Linked DNA regions of Mus musculus. The protein of the gene in region 1 interacts with the protein of each later gene in a pairwise test. Links are inferred from orthologs where the notes say so. Each region holds a gene or a part of one and is shown on either strand. Other genes may lie near its edges.

Evidence for each region.
Region 2: the proteins of Hdac6 (region 1) and Erbb3 interact in a protein complementation assay, tested with the Homo sapiens proteins (2 studies listed by BioGRID and IntAct, with this or other methods). The link is inferred for Mus musculus from reciprocal best matches to the Homo sapiens genes HDAC6 and ERBB3.

Annotation. Positions count from the first base shown.
Region 1 is NC_000086.7:7,934,378-7,937,898, reverse strand, and holds part of Hdac6 (histone deacetylase 6), read left to right. Parts: coding exon 1-56; intron 57-143; coding exon 144-272; intron 273-426; coding exon 427-595; intron 596-823; coding exon 824-957; intron 958-1,448; coding exon 1,449-1,517; intron 1,518-1,636; coding exon 1,637-1,829; intron 1,830-3,521.
Region 2 is NC_000076.6:128,572,620-128,576,140, forward strand, and holds part of Erbb3 (receptor tyrosine-protein kinase erbB-3 precursor), read right to left. Parts: intron 3,417-3,521; coding exon 3,363-3,416; intron 1,856-3,362; coding exon 1,720-1,855; intron 913-1,719; coding exon 793-912; intron 655-792; coding exon 556-654; intron 326-555; coding exon 140-325; intron 1-139. UniProt on the Homo sapiens protein: Tyrosine-protein kinase that plays an essential role as cell surface receptor for neuregulins.

The DNA of each region.
Region 1 (3,521 bases):
CGCACTGGGCTGGTCTATGATGAGAAGATGATGAGTCACTGCAACCTCTGGGACAAGTGTGTGCTCAGAGGGCTGGGGTGGGTGGTGTTTGGGTCACTCTCCTCAGTCACTAAACCCTTGGCTCTGCTTCTCCACACTGTTAGTCATCACCCTGAGACACCTCAGCGCATCTTACGCATCATGTGTCACCTGGAGGAGGTGGGCCTTGCGGCTCGCTGTCTCATCCTACCTGCTCGGCCTGCCCTGGACTCTGAGCTCCTTACCTGCCACAGGTCAGACCCCGTGCTGGGGGGAGGCCGGCTGTAGGATTCTAGGGATGTTCCAGGAGTAGGGCCTAGGGCTCTCCAAGATGGGTGGAGCCACCTAGACAGGTTCAAGTTCTTATGTGAGGACAAGCTGGCGACTCTTGTTCCTCTGCATCACCAGTGCTGAGTACGTGGAGCATCTCCGCACCACAGAAAAGATGAAAACCCGGGATCTGCACCGTGAAGGTGCCAACTTTGACTCCATCTACATCTGCCCCAGCACCTTTGCCTGCGCAAAGCTTGCCACAGGCGCTGCCTGCCGCCTGGTGGAAGCTGTGCTCTCGGGAGAGGTGCGTCTTCTCTGTGTGCTAGTGAAGTTTAGCTGAAGAAATGAGGTCCTGGGAACATAGAGAGGGACTACCTGCTCCCACTCAGGAGGCCAGAGGCAATAGGAGAGTCTGCTGGGAGGGGAACCACGGAGTGGATGGCCGAGTGGATGGCGGACAGGAGAAAGGGAAGCCTGGGAAAGATGAAAAGAGAGTGAGGGCCAGAGGCAGTCTCGCTGCTCCTCCCTACAGGTTCTAAATGGCATTGCAGTAGTGCGCCCTCCAGGACACCACGCGGAGCCAAATGCTGCCTGTGGTTTCTGCTTTTTCAACTCAGTAGCTGTAGCTGCTCGCCATGCCCAGATCATTGCTGGACGTGCCCTGCGGTAAGGCCTGCCCCCCCAGAGACCCCCAAAACCCGATCTTTGCAGGGATCTGGCTACTCTTTCCATTCAGTCTTACTTGGCAGACCCATGGTCACCCCTGGGAGCTTACACAGAAACAAGCAAAGGTCCACTGGGCAGCACTTGACTACAAAAGCCCCAGGACGGGTGTGTTAAGTGCCATGGCATCTAGATGCTTAATAAACTAGGATCCAGGGTATCACACCAGCATTCCTGAACAGGTTATCCCAACAGAACCCATGCCTGGGCTCCTAGCATTAGAAGAGTCCCTAGCCTTAATTACTTGTTCAGGTCCATAGTTCAGGAAGCCAAGGTTGGACCTTCATTCTTAGAATAATAGCAGTGCTTTCTCATTAACTCCATGGTCCTGTTGCCCAGCAACAAGTGCTTCCAAAGACCCTAGAAATCTAGCAGTGGCCCACTCCTAGGCCTTACTGTCCCAAGGTGCTAAAAAGGGCTATCTCCCTCCCCAGGATCCTAATCGTGGATTGGGATGTTCATCATGGTAATGGAACTCAGCACATATTTGAGGATGACCCTAGGTGAGTGATGGGACTGTGGGTAAGAGTATGGTGTGAGAGGATGCTGAAGCATCCTGCAGGGATGTTCATAGCCTCTAACCTGCTGTGGCCCCTTTCTCATCCCACCCTCTCCCTGGCAGTGTATTATACGTGTCCCTGCACCGGTATGACCGTGGCACTTTCTTCCCCATGGGGGATGAGGGTGCCAGTAGCCAAGTAGGCCGAGATGCAGGTATAGGCTTCACTGTCAATGTGCCCTGGAATGGGCCCCGCATGGGTGATGCTGATTACCTGGCTGCATGGCATCGTCTGGTACTTCCCATCGCCTATGAGGTAAGGCTCAGGTTATTATATAACATTGCTGTATCTGGCAGCACACATCTGCCTCCTTGACGTGTGTTTTGACTACCAGGTGACTAATCCTATGATGGCTATTGGGACAGGGTGGTGGGGATGGCCTTATGTATCTGTCTGCCTATGCATATATGGGTGCCTGTGAGTGGCCTATCTCTGTGACATTTTACACGTAAACAACTGTCTTGGCTCTGTGTATATATGCATGTGTGTGCCTTCTGATTCTGTCTGCTCTTCTGAGTGCATGGCTGTAAGGGTATCCCTAAGAGATACTGTTGTGGAATTGTGTAGAATAGAAGCATAAGATTAAATACATTATGGATATGTCTATGTAATGTTATATAGTGGCTGTCATCTCCTTTCTGTGTGTGATAAGTGTGATAGTGTATGTCATTAAATGCTGCTGTCTTGTGATAGCCTAAGAAAGACTCTGAATATGGAAGGCCGTAGTGACATTGTCACCCACACCCGTCTAACTGGGTCCACGTGTCTATATATGAATCTCGCTGGCTGCTTTGACTCAGGGGTGACCTAGCTGTGTGTGAGCTAAGGACAGGGCCAATGGCGTGTGTGTGTGTGTGTGTGTGTGTGTGTGTGTGTGTGTGTGTGTGTGATAATGCACTGAGGACACAACTCTGCAAGCCTGAACATCGGGCTCTGCTTTTACATCTGCATGCATGTGACTATGCACAGGCGACAGAGGCTACCCTTTATGTGTATGTGTAACTGCATGCAAGCGATAGCCTGCTGTGGGCATTGTAACTGTGCATCTTTGTGACTGTGCAGGGGTGGCTGTGTATTATCGTCCCATGAGAAACCCAAGCGTAAGTGGTGGGATTTGCAGCCCTATCAATATGAACCTGTCTGGTTGGGAGTGGAAGTGTATGACACTTTTATTTGTCTATAGTCTGTGTATAAAAGCCTGTATCATGTGAATGTGGGTCCCGTATTTGACCCTTGTATGTGAGAGAGAGGTTATGTCTCTGTTTCTCTTGTCACTATCTCCTGCCTTCCAAGTCTCCATGTTCTTTCTGTGAGCCATATCTATGTCATAACTCTATATCTTGCCTTCTGTCAACTTAGAGTATCTCCCAAGAGATTTTTGCCCATATATGTGTGTGTGTGTGTGTGTGTGTGTGTGTGTGTGTGTGTGTGTACCACATGTCTGCTTCATGACTGTGGAAGCCAGAAAAGGGAATCTGATCCCCTGGGACTGGAGTGAGACAGTTGTGAGCTGCCATATAGGTGCTAGGAATTGAACCCTAGTCCTGTTTCCACAGCCAGCGCTCTTAACAGCTGAGCCATCTCTCCAGCCTCTCTCCCAGTGTCTTGAGTTTCTGGCGGGTATACTCTTGTCTCTTTCCAGGCCTGCCATGTCTTGTTTCTCCTTGTGTCCCTGTCTTCCACTCCTGCTTTTCAGATGTCAGGTTTCTCTCCCTCCCTCCCTCCCTCCCTCCCTCCCTCCCTCCCTCCCTCCCTCCCTCCCTCCCTCCCTCTCTCTCTCTCTCTCTCTCTCTCTCTCTCTCTCTCTCTCTCTTTGGTTTTTCGAGACAGGGTTTCTCTTTATAGCCCTATAGCCCTAGCTGTCCTGGAACTCACTGTAGATGTTGGGTCTCACATCATCTGGGTTTTGACTTGAATTCGGATGCCTTCGTTTGCCCTTGCTCCTCC
Region 2 (3,521 bases), on another chromosome or scaffold:
GAGTCGGCCACTGAGCAATAGCAGCTGGCCACACCTTGAAGACAGCACTCATGACCTCAAACCCTTAATCCTCCTTCCTCAACCCCGACCTTCCCCAGCTAAGCTGTTGCTATCAAAGGCCTCCCCTGACTCCCCTCACCTTGGCAATTTGTACTCCCCAGTTGAGCAGCAGCTGTGGTCCCAGTGTCTCACGGTGCTGTCTTACATGATCAAGGAGAGAGCCCAGAGGCAAGTACTGAGTGACAAGCTGCAGAGATGACCCTGGGCACAGTCCCAGCAGCCGTACAATGTGGGCATGGTCCAGGCTGCCGACGGCCAGCATGTGCTGCAAAATATAAGAGGTGTTAGCCAGGAAGTAACGGGTTTGCATACACTCCACAAAAGCACACCCAATCCAGAGGTCCCCTAACACTCATGCCTAAGATGGATCTAACACACTATTTGCCAACACAAGATCATATGCCTACATGCCCGAAACCAACACTGCCTCTCTCATTATGGCATCCACTTAATTGGAGTCTGAAGATTACAGATGAAGTCCCTTCTTTAACTTACATCAGTCACAGCCTGAAAACTCTGCCGCCCACTCTTGTCCTCGATGACTTTAATGCAGACTGGAATCTTGATGGATTCACCCTCGGGAATCCAAATCCCCTGGAAAGTTTGAAGTGGAGGGAGGGAGGGAGGTTTAAAAAAAAATCACTCTTTTCAGACAGTGTTCTGCCAAAATCTTTCTCCCATTTTCCCTGGCATCTTGTTCCCACTTCTCTAGACTTCCCAAGAGTCACTCACCTTGTGTACAGTTCCAAAGACACCAGAGCCAAGCACCTTAAGTTTCCTCAGCTCTGTCTCTTTGAAGATTCTAGCCAAGACTTTGTTTGCCTTCTCGCTTGGGTCCAGAGGCTCGATGCTCTGAGGGGTGGACAGGAAGGAGTTATTTGTAAAAGCCCACTCCCACAAGCCTAGTCCCACCTATTGCCTCTGCACCAAGAGCAGCAGAGCTCAGAGCCTAGGGTAAGAAGATAAGTCCTTAGTCTTGGAAAGCTTCATAATTTCACTGAGGAACAACAGACACTTCAGGAACTATAGGATTGAGGAAGCTGTGCTGATGAGAAAGGTCAAGAGGGATTGGTTTCCCTTTGAGTAGGAGGAGGGAATCGAGGAGATATGGTGGTACCCCCATCTCGAAGACTTTTCATGCAAGGTTGATTCTGGTTTTCTATCCCTCTGTCCTCGAAGATGAGGACTTGCTGTGTAGATCAGACTTGTCTTGAACTCAGGGCAATCTTTTCTGCCTTGGCTGAGTGCCAGAATTACTGCCCTGGACCAAAATGCTTAAGCTTTCAAGGAACTTGCACATACCACTACCCATCACCTTGGAAGGATGAATGTTATTGTATCTAAGAGACATAAACTGAGCCACAGAGAAGGAAAGTAGTTTCTTCATCGTTGTGGCAAAAGGCAAAAACAAGATGAGAACATCTCCCTACTTTTTGGACTGGAGTGTACACATATGTGCACTGTACATTCGTGTTGCTAGGACTGAACCTGGGTCCTTGTACATGTTAGGCAAGCATTCTGAGCTGTATCCATAGCTCTATACCATCCCCTCAAAGAGAGGGACCATATTTCCTGAGAAAGAGAACCAAGGTTCATCGATTTTCCCTGGGAGCAGATTGTAAAGGATGCTTCCCAAAGTTAAGCTAGATAAATACTCACCTCACCCCGCTCCAAGTAGCGTCTCATAGCCCTTTTATTCTGAATCCTGCGTCCACGCCAATAGAGAAAAGAGCCTCCCAGAATCAGGAAGATCACAGTCAGTCCTACTGTCACCGCTATGACCAGGTGTGGTTTGCTGTGGGATACAGAAAAGGCCAGCATCCTGGGTTTACAGTGGCTTCACAAAGGTCATTTATTTGGTGTACATGTGAGTTAGCATTCATCTCTATTAATGCCCATGAGCACTGAAGGAATCAACCCAGATACAGGGCTTGCCCCCTTTTAAGCCAGTTTAAGTTAATCTAGGAAGAGAATTCGAGAAGCCAGGACTCTTGAGTCCAGGGATGGTGGACTATATATATAAAAGGGAAGAATGGCTCCAGTGGACAGTCCCATACCCCGTGCATACCAGTGACACTAAATAGACCCAGGGTGTTATTAATAACAACAATGAAAAGGAGGACAGGAAATCAGGAAGGGGAAGGGCATGAAGGTAATCTGGAAGGAGATAAAGGTGGATTGGTATGATCAAAAGATATCACATAACTGTATTACATTTCCAAATAATAAATAACAAATATTATTTAGGGCTGGTGAGATGGCTCAGCGGGTAAGAGCACTGACTGCTCTACCAAAGCTCCTGAGTTCGAATCCCAGCAACCACATGGTAGCTCACAACCATCCGTAATGAGACCTGACACCCTCTTCTGGCACGTCGGAAGACAACTACAGTGTACTTATGTATAATAATAAATAAAATCTTTAAAAACAAAACAAATATTATTTAAAGTAAGGGGGTGAGGGTGGGGGGCTGAAGATATGGTTCAGCAGTTCAGAGCTCCTAAAGAGGATCCAGGTTTGGTTCCCTGAACCCACATGGTGGCTCAGAACTATCCTAACTCTAGATCCTAGAGAACACAGTGCCCTCTGCTGGTCTCCCTGAGCACGGGCACACATGGTGCACATACAAACATTCATTAAGGCACTATTCATACATATAAAGTAAAACAGATAACTTTTAAAGGTAGGCATAGTGCTACATGCCTTTAATCCTGGTATTTGGGACCCAGAAGCAGGAGGATGTCTGTGAGTTATCAAACACCCTGGCATACACGGCAAGTTTCATGCCAGGCAGGACTATATAGAGACACCATGTTACAAAAACAAAATAAACAAAAATGTAAAAAATAATTTTTTGGGTTTTTTTTTTTTCAAGACAGGGGTTCCTCTTTGTAGCCCTGACTGTTCCTTGAACTCAGAGATCTGCCTGCCTCTGCCTCCCGAGTACTGAGTTCAAAGGTGTATACCACCACCACCAGGCTAAAAATGAAAACTTAAAAGGGCAGAGTGGGCCACTGGAGAGAGGCTCAGTGCTTAAGAGCACTGGCTGTTCTTGTGAAGGACCCATGTTCAATTCCCAACACGTATATAATGGCTCATAGATTCATAACTACAGTTCCAAGATATCTCATGCCCTCTTCTGGCCTCCAAAGGGACCAGGCAAGCAAGTAGTGCAGAGACATAAATGAGGTAAAACATATATATATATATATATATATATATGGCAGAACAAATAACATCGTTCTTTCCCTGACCTTTCTCCCAAACATTCCTGAACCCAACATTCTCCAAGCCGATCTTACCTCATTAATACCTCTGCTTGGCCTAAACAGTCTTGTAGTTCTGGTCCCTTACACCTAGAAAAGAAAATCACCTTCTTAGACAGTAAGTAGACAAGAGAGGATTGGGCCAACAAGACGGCTTAGCAGATGAATATACTTGCAGCCAAGCCTGAGGGCCTG